Linked DNA regions of Danio rerio. The protein of the gene in region 1 purifies or fractionates together with the protein of each later gene. This does not show direct contact. Links are inferred from orthologs where the notes say so. Each region holds a gene or a part of one and is shown on either strand. Other genes may lie near its edges.

What was found.
Region 2: the proteins of atp11c (region 1) and tmem30aa purify together in Homo sapiens (co-immunoprecipitation; 4 studies listed by BioGRID and IntAct, with this or other methods). This does not show direct contact. The link is inferred for Danio rerio from reciprocal best matches to the Homo sapiens genes ATP11C and TMEM30A.

What each region holds. Positions count from the first base shown.
Region 1 is NC_133189.1:37,169,689-37,180,839, forward strand, and holds the start of atp11c (phospholipid-transporting ATPase IG), read right to left. Parts: upstream 5,831-11,151; 5' UTR 5,325-5,830; coding exon 5,298-5,324; intron 1-5,297. UniProt on the Homo sapiens protein: Catalytic component of a P4-ATPase flippase complex which catalyzes the hydrolysis of ATP coupled to the transport of aminophospholipids, phosphatidylserines (PS) and phosphatidylethanolamines (PE), from the outer to the inner leaflet of the plasma membrane.
Region 2 is NC_133192.1:56,060,126-56,070,627, forward strand, and holds the start of tmem30aa (transmembrane protein 30Aa), read right to left. Parts: upstream 9,837-10,502; 5' UTR 9,651-9,836; coding exon 9,402-9,650; intron 7,049-9,401; coding exon 6,929-7,048; intron 5,269-6,928; coding exon 5,161-5,268; intron 4,701-5,160; coding exon 4,613-4,700; exon of another isoform or gene 4,310-4,612; intron 4,118-4,309; exon of another isoform or gene 2,480-4,117; coding exon 2,333-2,479; intron 2,090-2,332; coding exon 1,877-2,089; intron 1-1,876. UniProt on the Homo sapiens protein: Accessory component of a P4-ATPase flippase complex which catalyzes the hydrolysis of ATP coupled to the transport of aminophospholipids from the outer to the inner leaflet of various membranes and ensures the maintenance of asymmetric distribution of phospholipids.

The DNA.
Region 1 (11,151 bases):
TGAGCCACACAAAAATATACAGAGGCAAACTCCATAGCAAGGCAAGAGAATATGCTGACTGGAGTAATATTACAACACCTATGGGAATATCAGCACATGCCATCATTATATTGGTCTATTATTGCTGGTATCTAAAGTACTTGCACTACCAGCAGCACAATTTAGCCTAATGGCACCAACAGGTTATTGGAGATTTACACCATAAAAAAGAGACAAGGCAGTAAAGCAGTGCAGCATAAAAGGAGGGATATAGAGCCAGTGCCATTTGAGCTATGTCACAGACTAGCAAGAATGCACAAATGTTTCAGTCAATCACTAAATAAAATATTTTAATGGGTTAACTTTTCTGCGATTTTAACAAATGTATGTGCTTTGAACAACAATTAAGATGTTAGCATCTTTTAGCTATAATTGTAGGGCTACTTTTGAGCTTTTAAAATCTATATGGCACAGTGTTCCTTGTGGTGATGTAGCATAGCACCGGGAGTACTTCAATGATACGTCAGTGTCTGATTATTATTCATGAGACCAAGTTTTCTACCCTATGAATTATTTCTGAATTATTTAGCCAAGCTGTAAGACCGTGCAGTAGTTCAGCATTCATGATGGGTTGAGGCACTGTTTATGTTGTCCGTAGACCTCTAAGAGTCTGTTTTGAATTTTTGGGGATTTTGAGAGCTGCAGAGTGGATTATTGAGCATTGTTGATCGACCATTGTGTTCACACAATCAACAGATATGGCTGTTTTTGGGTCTAATAATCATCAGTTTGAAAGCTGAGTCTATCAGCTGATCCGTCAGTGGATTCACACTGCAAATAAACACTGAGCGACATGACTTTCAAATGTTCCAGTGTGCGAGGACTTTTCTGTCCCTACAAAGTAGGTAAGATTCAGATTTTTCGATAAAGTCATTATGAGCCACTGACAGATGATCCATCCTTGCTTGTTTTTTTACTGCTTTACATGCCCGTGTAAGATGCATTTTTCAAAAAAAACAAACAAAAAAAAAACACAAGGTATATTTGAACTGGAAGAGGGGGGTTTCATGACCCTTTAAAAAAAATAAACCTGGACCAAAGTCATGAAACAGAAGAAGAAACATAGGATTCAAAATAGTTGTGTAATGGATCATGGTTGATCTTTGATCTGTACAAATCACAACCCACGGCCCGCGGATTAATATACATTTTTTTAAACTTGTAGGTTAATCCAACATGTATAACAATTGCTGAGAGATCGCCTCCCGCATCATTCAAATTACATGTATGAAAGCATTTTTGGCTTCCCTGTAAAATATAATGATGACGGAAAAAGTTGTGGTGGGACCTAAAGGCTTTCTTAGGTTGTTAATTAAAAGGTGTTTTCTGTCACTCTTTGTTTAGCCTGCATTAATGCATTAAGTGTAAAGCTGCACAATTAAGCATTAAAAGACTGTGATCTCAATTCAAATCTACACAACATGAATAATAAATAATGATGATTTACATAGGTTTATTAATCCTTCTAAGCAGTGCATTCATATCTGCATTTGTGAGAGATTCGGTTTTTACACTTTTATAGTTAGTTACAAAATATTAAATAACACAGAAGTTTTGGGAGAACAGTTTACAGTTCAGATATAAACACTGACGTTTGTGGTAAATATTAAAATCACAGTTTAATAGAACTAGACGCTGGTGAATGTTTAATGTTGTAGGAATTACATTGTGTAACCAATGGGTGGCGACAAACAATCATCGAACTTGTATTACTGAATAGGTTTTCAAAAATGATCCACCTATTGACCTTATTCTAAAATGCGGAAGTGCGCCTGTTTTCGCGATTGTCTTAGAACTTCCGATTCAGTCGCCTATGGGAGAAACGCCTATGGTCTCCTATGGGAGAAATGACTAGGAATAATAAACGGCAGAAAACGATCAAACTACTTGCTCTACAAACAAATGTTTGCATGACTATACAGACCAAGTAGAATAATATAATAAGAAAATATCAAATTGCAACATCAAGCAGCGTAACGAGCTGCTTTACGGTCAAAAAATGAATGGAAGTGAATGAGACTGGAAGTCTCAAGCCAAAAAGATTCAAATGGCAGCGCCCGCTCGTCTGCGAAGAATAAGGTGAATAATGAAACAGGAAGTTTTATTTGTGAATTGTTGAATCATTAATTGAAAATACATATAATATGTTGTACAAGATGTTAGATTTTTATATTTAGCACTATCAGCAACAGTAGCAAAGACCATTTATTGTATTGAATATTTTCCTTTTTTCAGCTGGTTCCATCTTGATTTTAATTAAATTTTTTATTTTTACAACAGTTTCTAATTATGTTGGTTAAAACCAATGTTTTTTGCAGTAATATTTTTGTATAAATGAAAAGCAAATGACATGTCAATTCCCTTTTTTTGCTGATCCAAAAAATGGTCCTATCAGTGACTCAAAAACCATAGTATGATCCGAACCATGAGATTTGTGATTCGTTACACCACTAATTCAAAAGTAACCTGGATTTCTCAGCATGCCTCAGTACCAAATATTAGTAGGGTTGTTAAAATTACAGGTTCAAAGTTTTGTTCGTTAAAACCAAAAATTTAACGTTTTTGCAATAAATTGAAAGCAAATTACATTTATCTCCTCTCCCAAAAATGGTCCGATGCATAACTCAAAAATCGTAATGTAATCTAAACCGTGAGATTTGTGATCTAGTACACCACCACTGTAAATGGATTTGTGCTCAGTGTTAAGACACCTACAGTTACACTTCTGAAGCGTTTTGTGCATTTTGTGTGTATATCTGACCTTAGAGATTGGGGTCATCCTACATACTTCACTAGCTAGAAATCTGAATTAAATGAAATCTGAAGAAAATGATTAGCTCAAAACAAATACAGATGAATGATTCCTAATGAAATATGTACCATGCACTTGGAAAACATAAAAAGAAAAGCCTGAAAATTGAAACTGACTTCCCACAGATTATGTTTCTGGATTTCTGAATGTGAAAAAAGTACAAACTGTCTTTTTAGTATGCCAAGTCTACCTGCAGGAAGCTGCCAAAGGAATATCGGGAAAGCACAGTGGTTAAACCTGTAAGTCTAGCACATTTACATTCAAAAACAATGGAAAAACAAAAGAGCAGAATGCAAAACCTCTTCTGTGTGAACTGCCCCTAAAAACATGCAACCTCAGAGAACTTTTGCTGGATCAAGTGGTTGGTAGCAGCGTTTTTAGTTGCAATCATTATTTATTTCTACAGCTCAGGCTGCCTTCATTGAATGTAAATTGCAAATAACTTCAGGTACATAAACCTTATGACGGAAATTGAAAGGCTTATGTAAATACAATTAGACTAAGCAAGCAAGCGAGGATGCGGTTCATACAGTCACAGACATAGAAATACCAAAAGGAATGGATAAAATATTAGCCCTAACAGAGAAGTTACATTTCATACAATCAAAACTTTACAATACATCAGATCTGATCTAACATAAGCACATATAATAAAGTACGCACCCACATCAGATTTGGTGCAATCATTTAATCACCATTGTGCTGTCGCAAAAAGAGGCATGCTTTTCTTTCTTCCATGGAATCTTTTCTATGCAATTTCATTGCTTCATACAATGAAAGTGAAGGGTGACTGATGGTATCTTCTTTTATCTTGAGGCCATGACAAACCAAACCGACTTCAAAGATCTAACTGCATCACAATTTGACCGCGTTAAGGGCTTGCATGAACTGCATCTTGGCCAAAAAGCTTCACCTGAATACACTAGAGAAAGAAGTACAACTTATTGCAAAATAGCAGGCGTGTTCTGCATGCAAAAATTCAACTGTAAGTCCCCCTATGACAACTCAACATGCTGAATCGGGCAAACTGCCTCCGACATGAGCCCAACCAGAGCCAACATGAAAACCAGAGTAATATGTGCCTGCTCTGACCCACCTCAACCACAAAAATTAAAGTTTAGAAGTGCAATTGCTGTATAATTTCACTTACAGATTGCTTCACAAATTCACACTGATGGTTGTCGGGCAGTTAGTCAATATAGTCAGTTGCAATCGAGATTTTCCTCTAATGTCCAAGGCTGCTCCTTTCACAGAAAATTGTACATTTCAGTAACATAGACCTAACGACTAGAATTAAAGTGGTAAAGCATGACCAAATATTAAACTTATGCAAATATAACAACCCAAACAATGATGTGGTTTGGTCACCCTGACCCTAAATTAACGAATGAGACAAGTAACTCGCAATCAAACATAATAAAACCAACACTTTAACAATGGAGAGTGCACCCAAATGAAAATGGTGCAGTCATTTGCTCACTGGCATGTTCCGACAGACGTGTATGAGATTCTTTCTTCCGTGCATTTCTTTTTATTCATGCAATGAATGTGAAGAATAACTCATGCTATCTCCATTTATGTTAGTCTGGAATCGCATGAGGGTGAGTAAATATTTTGTTTTATTTCTAGGTGAAGCATTAGTTCAAGCACACGAGGAGCGTGTTGAATTCATTTGCAATGGTGAATTACAACAATAATTGAAGCAAAAGCAGGGAGAAATTTGATTACAAGTATTCCCACAACCACAGACCAAAACGGCTGAGACTAAAAAAAGGCTTCATCTTAAAGCCAGCATTCAACTTCAAGAGCTCTGCCCTGATGCTCTGCAATTATGTGGTAAAAGCAGAATTACTGCATCACGTGCCCAAATAAAGTTTCCATCTAAAAGGTTGCGACAGCAATGAAGGGCATTAGGAAATTAATTATTGGATTCAAGTACAACACGTAAAGGGCTTAGCTTGCAAGAGCGAGCAGTATTATTTGATTAACACTATCAGGAATGCAGCTTAACTTAAAAAAAATTGGCAGAACACATCAGAAGTAGCTGCCTGAAACCATTATCTTCACAACAGAAGAGGCGTCGTCAGCGTCTAAACCCCAGTCCTAACGTGTCCAGGCTCAATCAAAAGTGACTGTCAACTTCTTAAAAAATATTTTCCAGCTGCTAAACCCTATAAACTCGCGCTTTGAATGGCTAATATGCGTGACACGACTCACTTAGCAACAGCTGGTCCATGTTACCAGGAAGTTGCCTGCATACCTCAAGTAATTACAGCTTTGGTGGTGTTAAAAACTCTTGTGGTCAGCCAGAGGAGCTCTTTCTGCAGGGTGGCTCCCTGGTTTTTAAATAAGCCGTCCAACTTGTGCACAAACTGAGATGTTGCCTCGATAGACCTGCTCGATTTAAGTGAGATGTAAGTGAGCGGCAGCAGAGTGCCATACATACCAATCGGTTGAGCCTCCTCCGTAACATCTTCAGTTGTTCCGTCTTCTTTGGTATCTGAAGACGCTGTCGAGCAGCTGTTCCTTTTGTTGCGGCCAAACTACAGGCTAGTTGAGCTCGAGGATGAGTAACGTTAAGTTTGCATGTATGACGGCAAAATGCGCCTTGTTTAGCTATCTACTTTCTAACCTGTTTCCCCGAGCTATATGCAATGCGGCGGTGAAGCTACATCGTTTCCATATTAATTGAATGCTGTCTTCTCTAACCATTCGCATTCTCGTTTTTGGATACTTTGCGCGGCGCTAGTCGCGGGAGCTCCCCGCGCGCGGGGTCGATTCACTCAGCGGCATCCTGTACTCTGTGTGCCCTGTTGCTGAGCCTCCTAATAATTCACCGCATTCGCCTCCCCGCCGTTAACGCACCGCACGCGACTGGAGATTGACGAGGGGGAGAAAAGTGATGGCGATCTCTTGAAGGTGCGGATTTCCACTCGTGTGCCGCCGCCCCCTCCTCTCGTTCAGATTCCTGTCAAACACATTTTACTCTCCTAACGCAAGAGCCGCTACGACGACAAGCCCCGCCCCTCCGTGGCTGACGCAAAGTTTTCTGGGAAATGTATTTTTGGCGGAAAAGATACTGTTTCTTTTTACAGTTCTTCCAAAAAGAAACGTGTTAATTTGGAAATATATGTTCAGGTGGTGATTGGCTTGATATGCTCCTCTTTTGCTTATTCACTTCCTGCAGCAGGGTAACGTTATTGTTTAGTTGTCAATATGTTAAAGCATTGGAAGCACAATTTTTTTATAAAGTCAAAACAGTTGTGAGATTTATTTTGTAATAGGTTAAAAGTGACTAATATCAGGAGGTATTTTTATAATTTGTACATTTAGATGCAATGGACTCCATCCAAAAAATTGTTAAAAGTATCTTTGGAAAAGACCCAAGTAGCACAATCTATATTATTCATGGAAATAAAATATTAATGGCTAAATGTTTCACATTGTATTATTCATTTAATTTAATATTTATTTATTATATTTGTTTATTTGTCATAGCTAATATATTTTTGACATTCAATACAAAAAAATATTTTTATATTGTGCTCAGCATAATTAAGTACACCCCCATTTTGACAATGAATATTTAAACAAAGCAGATTTATTAAACATTTATAAAAATAATATTTTAGTTACCAAACATATTTAAAAATTAAAATATAACACAATGAAATTAAAGCAAAACATTGTGGAAAAAATACAAAAAATACAACTTACAAAATTTAATCAAAATTGTTTTTAAAAAATCTTCTCCTGATTTGTCCTCTTTTTAAAATTTGCATTTAATATTTTTGTATAATAAATAAGTTTGGGTGTACTAGTTTTTGGGCTTTTATTGTAAGTTATTTTGATAGATAAGCTCCAGATTTGGCTTCAGTACCGACTAATCTAATGTTTATGCACAAATATAATATTGTATAGCTTCCCGATAAAAATGTACATTTATTTATATATATATATATATATATATATATATATATATATATATATATATATATATATATATATATATATATATATATATATATATAATTTTTATTATTTATTTTATTATCAAATAGATTTATTTATTCATAATTACACATCTTACTCTACATTAACAGACCTTCCAACATCACCAAACCCCTATTTCTTCAGATGCCCCTGCTGAAAAGAAAACAATCTAAAATCTCATAGAATGCATAATGGTTTTAATGGTTATAATGGTAATTGTATTGGTTTTAATTGAAATTGTAATGGTCCCCATGGGTGGTATTAAAACCACTAAACAAACCCTAATGTGTGCCGAAACACATTAGAAGTCATTAAAATGCTCTGGTAAAAAGTTTTACTGTTTTAATGGTAGTTTTTGTGGAAATTTGAACTTATGGTTTTTTTTTTCATCTTTTCATTAGGGCCCTTATAGTGTATAGCTATAACAATTAAATTCATGTTCTTTATATAATGCTGTTACGATGTAGATAGTGTCAAAGCAGCTTAGCAGTTCTAGTAAATCAGTCCAGTTTTCAGAGTTGAAGTTCAGTTTAGTTCAGTGTGGTTTAATTTTCACTGCTGAAAGTCCAAACACTGCAAAGCAAATCCATCAACGCGCAGTTCCACAAGTCACAAATCAAGCAAGCTAGTGGTGAAGATAACAAGAAATTAAAAATCAGAAAGAAAATTCTTATATGTAGCCTATTCTTTTTTTTTTTACTAATTTCACCTGCATTGAATCTTTATTTTTTTTATATTTTGGGTCGAGTGAATCACAGTGTAAGTGGCCTAAATCATAACAGTCGTATTGCAAAAAACATTGCGTGTGTTAAACTGCATGGTCTCGGTGCATTTTATTAAAATAACTAATGAATGTCCTCTCTGACCCTTTATATTTTTTGAAACAGCCCCACCATGTGGATTACATTTGGATTGTCAGTTGTAACCACCAGTGTTTGGTTGACGTTAAACGCATTTCTTAAAAAAAAATAAAGTAAAAATATCTGAGTTACTTTTTTAAAAACGTAATGCTAGTTACTTTTTAGTTTAATTAATTACCTTTTAAATATAAATTGCTGAATTAAAATGAATGTAGTCATGTTGAATCATGAAATCAATGAGAAAATGCAATCATTATTTTGAATGCATTGAAGAAAAAGGGGGATTGTCTTAATGGACAGAGATTTTACATAACTAATAATACAAAAAGTAGAAACGTTGCAGAAGTTTATAGAAGATTATCCTCATTTTTTTCTTTATGTGTTTCTAAAGTTAAATAGGTTATGCAGTGCATTGTTAATTCGGAGCTCCATAAAAACCTGCAAGTTCTGAAAGAGATCAAGCCTCAGCAAAGGTAATAAAAAGTTAAGCAAAAGTAACCCAAATGCAACAGATCGCATTACTTACCATCAAAAGTAACTAAAGAGCACAATAAGTTACTTTTTAGTGGAGTAACTAAATATTGTAATGCATTACTTTCAAATGTAACTTTTGTAGTAAATTACTACAATTATGGACTAGTTACAAATCAGTCAACTCAATTCACAGATGCTCATAGTTCTCTTTCCAGATATGAGTCCTAGGGCAAACACAGACGATTTTAGAAGGGGATAAAATATATTTGAGCTAAGAAAGTAATGTTATTTCTGAGATTGTAATTTGTATCTGATTTGTACCCATCAAAGTTAAATGATGTCACTTGTGTGTCTGTGTAGATATTTTTATTGCATAATGGTGGTGATTTTTATTTCCATCAATTTTTTTGTTTACTTTGAATTATGTGAACAAAGAATAAACATGCCATAGACGATCGACATATAGCAGTGTGCATAGATATACATGTAACAACCAATTTACAGGTTGGTAAATAATAATATTAATAATAATGCCAACAACAACAGTGACAACAAAAAGGAAAAACTGAAGAATAAATGACGAAGACTGAAAAAATAATATGTACATATACACAGACACACAGATACAGACATAAAACAAGTTTCCAAAATAAAAAAGCAATAAACCAAATCTGTATTAAAGGTTAAGTAAGGGTAAAATTAAACCAGTTAAAATGAATTTAAAAAAAAAGAATAGTAAGAGAAACAGATTAAGATAATCAAAACTGTGCTGAAAGAGATCTACAACAATGAAAAAAGGTTATTAAAAGCCCAAACAGGGAACCTTAAACAACTACAATGACGAGAAAGAAAAGATATTAAAATAATAACGAGAGAAAAAATTTATAAATCAATAAATAATTAAAAAATAAATAAAATAAATATGTGGCCTTGGAAACAAAAGTTTTGCTTTTTGATTTCTCCTTGATTTAAATTAGTAAACTTTTAAGCTATTCCAAAGTTTGTGCCCAAAGTCTGATGGTGTGCTCTCTTGCACCATGCAAGCAGTGGACATTTCCAGATACACAATATCAATAAAAGTTAAAATCCAATGGTGTTGATTAAGAGAATGTGGAGGCTTTCATCTTGTCACAACTATTTTCTTGGCTGCTGTCCGGCCAGCTAAAAACACACTTCTGAATTTTGTTAAGCTCGATATCAGAAAAATAATTTCAAATGAAAATAGAGGGGGCGAGCGGGACTGAAATGTTTATTAAAGACAAATTTTGCTTAACCATATTCCAAAAATAACCAAACACTGTCCCAAATCACATGAAACTACGTGCCAATGTTGGTGATAATGTTATAGATATTAGTTGTAAGGTGAGCAAATTCATGGCTACAAGACTCTGGGTCAGAACCAACAACAAAATGAATTGTAAAAGTGAAATGTTACCATCAACCCCAGCCAAAATGTAACTGTTTTTATTTTCAGTATATGACTAGGTGTTCAGTGTCTGAGCTGTCTTGTGGTCTATCTATTTATGTGTGATCATTGCTAGCAGCACTCAAAATAAATTGTGGCTTTGAATGAATGTCACAAACATTCAAGCATTTACAAAGACATTTAATGAGTCTCAGTGTCAGCCTATACGTAAAAACTTGTTTTATTGTGATCTTAAACAGGGCGATCATCCAAAAAAACTTTTATATACATATATATCTTAATAATATCAGCTAACAATGCTTAATGCTAACAAATCTCAATCTCAAAAATTAGTAATTATTAAAATTGTATTTAATTTCTTTATTTTTTTCATTAATTGTTATTATTATTGTGTGATTTTTATAATTCTTTATAATACGATCCTATAATGTAACGAGCAAAGTAACACATCACTTTATTTAAAGTAATAATATGCGAGTTACTTATTTAAAATGTAATGCTTTTAGTCCTTTTAGTCATATAGTTTAATTTATTACCTTTTAAAAATAAATTGCTGAATTAAAATATATGTAGTCACGTTAAACAATTCACTCAATGAGAGAAAGCATTCATTATTTTGAACACATCGAAGAAAAGGAAAAGGAAAAGGGGATTGTCTCAATGGACAGGGATTTTACATAACTAATAAGACAAAAAGTACAAAAGTAGCAAAACACATTGCTTTAATTAATTCATCTGTGTACACAATATGTATAGTTGTATGGTCAGAAAGTTCTCAGAATATTGCAAAGCTCCCATATTTAAAAAAAAACCCTGCAAGTTCTGAAAGAGATAAAGCCTCAGCAAAGATTAAAAAAAATGTAATGCAAAGATAGCTGTTGGCATGTTGGTAGGAACATTTCTTGGAAGTTTATTGGGGCCCTCTACTGGACGATACCATGATGTGCAATTGACATAGTAAGTCCCCAGCAAGCGTTTTTTGTTTTTAAAAGATTTGTAATAGATGTCTAATAGACGTCTAAACATAGTAGTCTTGGCTAAAACAAGGCTAAAATTGGGCTGTCTGTGAAAATCTAATAGACATCTAAGAATAGGTCAGAACTAGACTAGTCATCAAATAAACAGAAAAGTCTAATCTGTCTCTATATGTCTGACGACTCTATTGGGCTATTCTAAAATGTCTATTAGATTTTCATTAACAGCCCAAGTTTAGCCTTGTTTTAGCCAAGACGACTATGTTTAGATGTCTAACGTCTGTTAAACACAAAATTGTTTGCTGGGTCATTGTCAGTGGTGTAAAGTACTTAAGTTAATGGACTTTGTTACTTTACTTAAGTATGTTTTTGGCTACTTTGTACTTGTACTGAGTATTAAAAATATAAGCAACTTTTACTCTCTACTATTCACTCTACATTTTTGATTGAATACCTGTACTCTTTACTCGTTATATCTTCTACACGTTATAAAAGAGTTGCTATTAAGTTTGATTAATAACCAATGACATTTTCCAAGAGTCAAGAAATGAAAAAGTATACTTTACTATAGCC
Region 2 (10,502 bases), on another chromosome or scaffold:
ATCACCTGACTAGAAAATACAAATTAAAGATCACATTTGATAGACAAGACTATCAAGATTTTTACACTCTTGAAGTCTGTGGGAAAAAACACACTCAAAGAGAAGCATTGGGTTAAACTAGGCTGTCCAGTTTCAATGTTTGGTCCATTACTTCTACTGTATCTGTTCAGCTGAGGGAACAAAACCAACCCTGTGAAGTCAGACACAGCGATATTCCAAGATGGTGGCGCCCTAGGTCTAGAAGCTATAGTAAAACATCCCCTTTTCTTGAAAAAGGTTACATTAGTCGAGTTTGTTTTATACATTTTCATTAAAGTAAAAAATTAATTTACAAAATAACGTAACCTTAACTGACTGCTTCCGTTTCCCTTTAAGCTGCCATCACCATTTTTATATAAAGTTTTAAATACGTTTCAGTGCGTCATTCCATTGTTATTACACACATTTTTTAAATTTTCTTTTGATTTATGTTTGTAATGTTTGCGTTTTTACGAAAATCTGGTTTAATTCCATGTCAACATCTCCTTTAGAAATATTATTCCCTTGAAAAAAACATGACATCTTCAATACTTATTTCCCCCACTGTAATCATTATTATTGCCATCCTTTGGCCCGTTTCCACTGAGTGGTACGGTTCGGTTCGGTTTGGTACACTTTTATGGCCGTTTCCACTGTCAAAAGGCGTACAGAATCACTTTTTCAGGACCCTTTCGAAAGGGTCCCAAACACAAGAAAGGATACCAAAAGGCTGAGCTAGACGCGCAGCTGAACGCTATTGGTTTACAGAAGAGATACGTCATTCACTTAAAACAAGCCAGAATGTAAACAAAGGACCCGCCATGTTTGAAATACACAGCGAGAGATTACAGCGGAATTATATATTCATATATCACCGTCATGATGAACAGCCACACAGTCATGGAGTAGAGCGGAATCTACCCTGTGCCTCGCAGTTTTTTTACGAGCCAGTCTGACGCGCGAGCGGTTTCGCTTTCTTCCTTGCGCTCGCCGCGCGTCTATATCTGAAATAACAAACTTCTTGAGCTGATTATAATAGTGTGCGCTTGATTATTGACGTGCTTTGGAAACCCGATCCCGTGAGAAGCTGACAAACGCGAGAATGACACATTCAGAAAGAAAAGGACAAACGCGAGAGTGGAGCGCGGAAAAAAAACGGAGCACATTATTTCTTCAGCAAACGTGAACAAACGATCTTGTTTTAATTATTATCATCACCTTTTGGACTAAAATGAACGGGGAATGATGGAATAACTCTCTAACAGAAGCTACATGACATGTGCTGCTGAAGATTACAGACACAGATGAGAGGTTTTCACTGACTGTAGGCTATACTTTGTGTTGTTTTGAACCCAATTAAGAACGAAATGTCTGATGTGTGTAGTTTTTCTGTAGTTGGTAACATCGGAGACTGTCAGGGGCTGTATGTGTTCATATATGTTCATTTATGTATTTATTTTATATAATTACAGACGTTACAGTAGGCTATTTGGCACTGTCATTGATCTGCAGTTATAATCAAATCCTGTTCATAGAAAAGTTAGTAATAAACATTTATACACAAGTATTTATGTGTGTAAAGCATCTGTTTTGTGAGAAGTGCTTTTAATATGATATGTGAACGTGAACCTGTGCAGCTTTACTGTAGACATTTCCTCGAGCGAGAATGATGCGACTGAAACTTTCTGTCTTACACTACACCCACCAAAAGGGTACCCTTTATAGTGGAAACGCAAGCCTGATAAAGGTGACCCGTACCGACCCGAACCGTACCGTACTGTACCAGTCAGTGTAAACAAGGCATTAATAGCTCATTCTTGGTGTGAACAAGGCTTTGTGTGGGTTTGGTGAAGGATACTGTAGGCGACCTCCAGGCTGTAGTTTCCCGGCGGTAGTGTTGGGGTCATGGTGTCCTTCTTCTTCTGAATGATGCGGTACAGTTTCCTGAACGTGGGAAGAGCAGCGGTTCTCATCCACACGATCAAGTCCTCGTTGACGAAACCGTTGTTCTCGGGATCAGCCGGGTCCAGCTCGTAGACAGCCTTACGCCAGTTTACAGGTTTGCTGGTGTCTGTGAGGACAAACATTACAGACTCAGGGTAAAAAAAGAGAGATGTGTTGATGTACAGTGCATCCGGAAAGTATTCATATAAAAAAAATAAATAGAAAACCTACTAAAATTTTAAATAAATCATAAAAATAAAACATCTTTACTTGAAATCTGAAAAAAATCTAATCAAAAAGAAATGTGAAACATGAGCTGAAAGGCCCTGCTAAACACATCCGAATGATCGAGTAGACTTCTGAGTTGTACCTTGGAAAACAACGGAGAGGTTGTTGTTGCTTCCTCCTGGGTTTCTGAACTTGACGTGTTTGTCAGTCCACCACGCAATGCCTGTCTTCACCAGATGAATGCCGATTTTGCTTCCGTTTGGATGGATATAAAACAGCTCCAGTGTATCTACAAACATAAAGGAATCACACAGAGCAAACAAACAGACTTAAGGCCTGAGTAAGCAGTGAATATTTATTTTGAGGCTCATAGAAAGCCGCTAGAGCATGTTAGCATTAGCTTTGTTTATAGGGTCTACTGATCCGAGCTTCTGACAGACATTAAATGGTTTATTTATATACTTTTACAATGAGCAGCATGACCGACCTTCAAATTCTCAATAAACTTGTGCTAATTCTTCATTTAAACAGCATGCAAAAGTACACATAAGTGCAAAAGTAACTGCCGCCGGTTGAAGGTGCAATTGTTAGCCTTCACTGTAAGAAATGTTGGAAATGAACAAAACAATCGGCCTAATACAAAATATTATGAGACTAAAATATGGGAAAAATGTCAGATGGTTCTTTAATTCTGTAAATTTTCCAAACGAATAAACAGCACTCGGTAATATTTCAGCATGCTTTCACTTTCGTATTCGACATGACACCATGTTATTGGTAGGAATGACATCCCACCCTACTCATAATTCTCCCTTCATGTAGCCATATATATGGCTTTTACATATGCATAATACACTGTGATATAGCCTGGTTCGTTGGCTTATTGAGTCGTATTGCTTTCTCACTACAATCAATCTGACCCAGGGTTTGTTTCAATTGAGCCGAGTCCACCTCATTAAGGTGACCCTTGATTAATAAAGGGACTAAGCCGAAAGGAAAATGAATGAATTAATTAATAATTAATAAAAATTAAGGTCTCTTTTTAATAGTGGCCTTAACTAATATGTACTTACACAGGATTTAATAGTTTGTTACAATGTACTTATTGTGTAAATGCATGTATTTACTGTGTACATGTTTGATCAAATACATGTATGTAATTACATCTGTAATTAACTTTTGTAATTACATTTGTTAATACACTGTTGACAATCCTTTACACCTTAACCCACCCTTAAACCTACCCACACCACCAAACCTGCCCATAACCCAACCTCTATCCCAACTGAAAAGCACCACAAGTGTTCTCAAAATACATTATAAACCCAGTAAGTACATTGTATTTAGTTTTTTGATGCAAGTACATAATAGTTAAGTACACTTAATATAAAGTGGGATGATAATTAATAAAAATAAAAAAAAACTTGTGTTAAGGAGTTACAGATTTTCGTAATTACAAAGAAAAAAAATTTGTTTTACAATGTCATTACTTCGAAAACTGCCACGTCCCAAAAAAGGCATCAGTACCAGCGAGTAAAAGAAAAAAAGTATCTTAAAAAATGGTTTTGGTGCATATCTAATTCACACAAAGAATAAACAACTATTAAAATAACAATATTGGTTTAGCACAGAGGAAATATTATTTAAATAGTCTAAATGAACAATTAAACTATTGAAAGAAAATTATTATCAAGCATTTAAAACAGCAACATGCCTTTGTAATATTCAAAGCCATATTAGGCACTAAGTATCATTAAGGTTATTACAGTGGCGTAGCGCAAAATGGGGAGGCCCCCCTGCAGGGATCACTGACGGGGCCCCCAGTTGGAGAGGTGTTGGTTGGGGGGCAACGCGGGGAAGTAATCACAAATTGAGGAGCAGGGAAGGAAGGCGGGGTGGAGCGACAACGCGGGGAAGCCTTCACAAACTGAGGAGCGATCACAAACTGAGAAGCGATCACAAACTAAAGAGCGGGAAAGGGGGGGGGGCGACAACACAGGGAAGCCTTCACAAACTGAGGAGCGATCACAAACCGAAAACGGCGAGAGCGTCAAAGTAGCCAGAAGTGATTCATTTTCAATGAGAAACGGCGGTGAAAAACATCGCGGCGCGTCTTCACCTGTGTGAGTGTCGAGGAGAGTTGAAATCAAGTCAACTTTATGGTATGAGCTATGACCGAGCTTGACTCGGTTCGGCGGCAATCATAATGAAGTAGTCCACCGGTTGAGAGGAGTTCAGAGAACACAGACCTGTGAACATTGGTTCCGACCACAGTTGTTTTCAAGAGTTTGATTATTGAGGTTGCCGGATTTTCGCGACAACGTGGGGCCCCCTAATCACGCGGGGCCCCCCCACGGAGCGTGCCCTGCGGGCCAGTCCGCTACTCCTCTGGGTTATTAGTATTATGAGCCTTCAGTCTTACCGTTGAAGAGACTGTTAGCAATGGCGCCGCAAGGAGCAATGGGCTTCCTGTCACTTGTTCGATACGGTTCACACTCTTTACTCGGATTCTGTAAAACAAAAGATTTAAACACTTGAAGACAACGTACAAACTCGATTCAACAATTCAGTAAGTATGCTTGCTAGGGCCATGTTTACACTAATTACACATATTTGCAATATGCAAACGACAATTAAACAAAAGTAAACTCTGAGCGGAAAAGCATGTCACGTCAGTCGCGTCACCAAATATATATATATAATATATATATAATAAGGCTTTCATTGACAATCATGATAGCCTTTTGTAATGCTCTTTCTTTGTATACACTACCAGTATACTCTTTAGTTTTGTTCCCAACAACTTACTGGCTGTTGTTACCACTTCTCTTTTGGGCCTCAAGCATTTCCATACCATCAGATCTCACAAAATGCACCAATATTAAACTATAAGTTTACACAAAACAAAATTAAATATAATATACTAAAGTCAAAGTCAAACATTTAGTCAGCATATGTCGAAACACTCACCAGTAAAGAGCTTTTGTCTCCATTCAGCTGACTGTCATCTCTGGATTTGACATAACGTCTGTGGTTTTGATAGAAGTTGGAGAGTCCGTAATACATGAAAACATTACTCTACAAAAAAAAAAGAAGTTAGAGGTTAAAATAACATCCAGTCACCAGCCATAAAATCTTTTATACTGAGGCTACTTCAGTGTTGTTTATAGATCATCTGAACTGATCTCTGTTATAACAAGAGCGGAAAACAATTCTATTTTTAACATATTAAAAGGTGCGATCAATAAAACGTCCTCTAAATATACTAATGCATAATACATGAGAGCTAATGGCACTTTAGGTGATTTGTTTGACCATCCAACGGTTAGCAGACAAAGCAAATATACAACATAATGGAGCTAGAGTTAAATATATCTCTAAATTAGTTCACGCTTGCTATGCTTTTCATTGATACCTTCATATGCATTTATAGGTTTTTGTTAATGAAATAACTGATGTAGCAGTGACAATGATGTTGATTTCTAAATGTGCTTTAATATAAGTAAATCTTTCAAACTCAGAAAATGTGACTTCGTATTATCCTGTGTTACTATAATCATAAACAAACAGAGAGGTATATTATTGTTAGTATTGTGAAGTATTCATCTGTTAAGGCTTTTGCTGCTGACAAAATGAACATATTTTTCAACAAACTGCAAGCACAAAAGTAATCTAAATGTAATCCAAATGTAGTCAGATTACATTTCCATAAATGTGTTATCTGTTTTTTTTTATGTAATTTGTAGACAACAACTGAATATAGTTCATAATTTAGCTACTCAGTTTTCTTTATAAAAGGTCACTCACATTAAAACAATTTCTGTGGTAAAATACATAGTGTTTTTGAATCATACTATAGTAAAGTAGTTGAATTCATTTGTTGTAGTAAGTTGCTGGTAATACAACAACTAATAACAGAAACAAATGAATATTGTAGTACAATTTTTACAACTTCATAGGGTGTAATAAACAACAATAGACCAGTTTACTGCAGTAAAATCTATAGTACACTGGTTTAAAAGTTGTAACCGTTTTATTAAATGGAGTTAATAACTAATAAAATTCTATTGTAATCCTGCAGTTATTCTTTTGCTAATTAATTTGTTTAAAACATTTGTTCGATTTATAGATAATGTATAGATAATTAAGCAATGCATTAAGTATCTTTTTGATTAAACCTGCTAAAGTGATCTTTTTTTAACCATATATATATATATATATATATATATATATATATATATATATATATATATATATATATATATATATATATATATATATATATATATGTATATATATATATAAATTAAGTAAGATAAACTTATTTCATACCAAAAAAACATGATTATTTAACTTAACGCATTGGCAGATTATTTAGCTTGTTTTAAGGAAAAACTAACTTTATTTTGACTTATTTCTTTAAAAACAAAAAAAAATAATTTTTTACTTGTCTAGAAAATGCTTTCTAGATTATTATATTTTATTTAAATTTTAGATCTTTGATTTTTAAAAAGAAAAACATTTTCTGAAGTGTAACACAGTGTCCTAACACGCAATAAAATATGTCTCTTTCAAGTTAAAAGGAGTTTCTATTTTAACCATCTGCGACTGCGAAATTTCTAATTTAGAAACAGTTTCTATTTCCGCAACATCGCAGCAAAAAAAACTTCAGATCTAGAAAATAAAACACAGAAACACACAAATATGATGTAGGTCTAGCAGTGTAAAGTGTGTTTACCTCGAAAGGCTGGTCTAGTGTGAAGGGAACAGTGCAAGTGCACACACTAGTGCTGTTCCAGCTGTAGTTCTGTGCACAGTTGTAACACGGACTGGACATGTCGACACCAGTGTAGTCGATCTACAACACAAACAACAACAGCACAAGTTACACAATAACATCAAACTACTATTCACGATGCTACTATTTTATGTTGTAGGGCTGTGCAATATGACATATATATATATATATATATATATATATATATATATATATAATTCATTCATTCATTTTCTTGTCGGCTTAGTCCCTTTATTAATCCAGGGTTGCCACAGCAGAATGAACCGAAAACTTATCCAGCAAGTTTTTACGCAGCGAATGCCCTTCCAGCCGCAACCCATCCCTGGGAAACATCCACACACACACTCATACACTACAGACAATTTAGCCTACCAAATTCACCTGTAACACATGTCTTTGGACTGTGGGGGAAAATGGAGCACCCGGAAGAAACCCACGCGAAGGCAGGGAGAACATGCAAACTCCACACAGAAACGCCAACTGTCGAACCAGCGACCCAGCGACTCTTGCTGTGAGGCGACAGCACTACCTACTGCGCCACTGTCTTGCCTATATATATATATATATATATATATATATATATATATATATATATATATATATATATATATATATATATATATATATAATTTTCTGTAAATTCCTAAGTATTTACTCAAAAATCTACTCATTAATATGTGATCAGATTAAAACTTCAGTGTATTTGTTTCTAATTATAATTAAATATTAATGAAATTTAGAAAAAAAATTCATAAACTAATGATTTATAGGCTGAGCATAAAATATTGCTAAATAAAATGTAAATATGTTTCTGTCTTTATCCTCATAATGGCGTATAATATTACGCTTATATAAAATTATGAAAAGTATTAAACAATAAATTTTGTAACAATACAATATTAAGGGTATAGTTCACCCAAAAATGCTAATTCTTGTCATCATTTACTCACCCTATATACGTTTAAAACTTTGAGTTTCTTTCTTCTGTTGAGCACAAATCAAAAGAAAACCTGTAACCATTGACATACACATTATCACTTTCCCTACTATGGAAGACAATGGTTACATTGAGGTAACGCTGGTTTTATAATCACACATTCATACTTTCTCCCTAACAATATAATTTCAAAAAGAAATATTTGCTTATTCTATATAGTAAAATCACAGTAGCAGCTAGTGACTATCAAACTGCAACATTGTTCAATAAAGGTAAAGTTGGTTTTATATTCACACATTCATTCATTGACAGCTCCATACATTGTTTACCATGGTACTTTGAATATCCGGACTGAAATCACATGACTTCAAAACAACATTAGCACTATTTAATCAACTGTGAACAATGCTGTACTTTGATGGTTGCTGGCTGCTAATATGATTTTGCTATTTACAATTTCCAATTAATACTTTTCTGAGACTTTATTATTAATGAGAATGTGTGAATATAAAACCAACTTTACTTCTATCATTGTTCAGTCAAACAAATAGTGCTAATGTTATTTGAAACTCATACTTACGTGTGATTTTAAATCAAATATAAAAAAATTAAGGTAAAGTTGGTTGTATATTCACACACTCGTTCAGTGACTTGTGTAATATTCTCTAATTTTTTTTTACCATGGTATTTTGAATATTTGATCTGAAATTGCATGCATGTACGGCATCAAGACAATATTAGCACTATTTATTTGACTGTTAACAATGATGTACTTTTGATAGTCACTGGCTGCTAACATGATTTCACTATTTATTTATTTAGAGCAAAGAATTCTTTCTGAAATTATAATAAGTCCCAATGCGTAAATATAAAACCAAATTTCCCTTAATGTATACAAAATATGATAGTAAACAATATAGGGAGCGAGTCACAAGTTGTCACTGAACGAATGTGCGAATATAAGACCTTACCTTAATAAATAGAGGTAAAGTTGGTTTTATATTCACACATTCGTTCATTTAGCAGTCTATATATTGTTTACTATGTTACTTTAAATATCCGATCTGAATTAGCATGCAAGTGTGACTTGAAAACAACATTAACACTGTTTATTTGACTGTGAACAATGTTGTACTTTGAAAGTCATTTGCTGCTAATATGATTTCCCTATTTAAAATTTGCAATGAATACTTTTCTGAAATGATATTATTAAGGGGAATGTCTGAAAATCCGAAACTTTACTTCTATCCTTAATAATGGTTACAGGTTTTTAGCTTTCTTCGAGCTATCTTCTTTTGTGTTCGACATTTGAAGGAAACTCACAAAGGTTAAAAACAAGCAACGGGTGAGTAAATAATGATTTTTGCTTGTCAATTTTGCTGTGAACTAACTATTTTAACGATAGAATATGAATAGATAGACATTTTATATTGTCATACTGCACAGCCCTGACGGTACTATGGTGAAGTTGCGCACTTCAAACTCTTTGATGTTATTGGAGGTGACGAAGAGTCCGATGCCGATGGGGATGAAGATGAGTCCGATCATGAAGAAGGCAGGCAGGACGGTGCCTGCTGTCAGGATGGGCTGCCAGGCGGGCAAACGCTGCTGTTTAAAGGCCGTGTTGTCCGGCTTCTTGCTCTTGACGGCGCCCGGGCCGCCGGAGCCCACCAATCCCGGATGATGACCGTCCTCCTCCTTCGCGTTATAGCTGGACGCCATCATCGCGCTTTAATCCTTCAAAGACGAGCACAACTTCAAATGTATGTCCTTGGTTGGGTACAGCGTGTGTTATATCGCCGCTATCGATGGTTTTGATGGTACAATGACCGCGCCATTAAACGATGGAGATTATTTCCGTAGCGCTTAGTAGGATGTGGACAAGGCGATAAACAAGGAAGTGCTGCAGCCAATAGACTTGCAGCGACGCTGTGACGGCATCACATGACGACTAAGGAATAAAAACAACTGTTTTTATTCCCCTGATAATCTCTTAATACAGTATGCTATGCTCTTTTACCGGTATTTTAATATGTTTGGTATGCATTTGTGTCTTTATTATTATTATTGCTGTTGTTTGCATGTTCCTGTTTGTTTCTGAAATAGAAAATCAGTGATGCAGAGATGAGCAGTATTTTAATTTAAACGTGTTTAATATGCATTCAATAACTAAATAGGTAGTTCATCCTTTGTATCTTGCTGGAGAAAATACAAAATGTAATTTTTATTTAAAGTCCAGGTGAAATCAAAATTTACAATGCTCATTTTGCTAGCGCACATTGTTATTCTTTAGGTGAACAATGGGGTATATGCACAGCAGCGAGCGTTTCTTCCCATATTATTAAACGTCTGGTGAACAGTTAATGTGGCTTGTACAATTTTATATGTTTTTTTTCTTTTACAGCATCGATGTTTTAATGTTTTTAAAATATAGTCAGTTAAACAGACTTATTAAATTAAACAGACATTTAATCGGTCAAGCATAAAATGAGATGAAAGACCGTTTACCAGCACAAGCTGTCAGGATCAGCAGGCTAGTACAAAAGCTCCTTTGAATAATCTGGCGTAAAAAAAAAT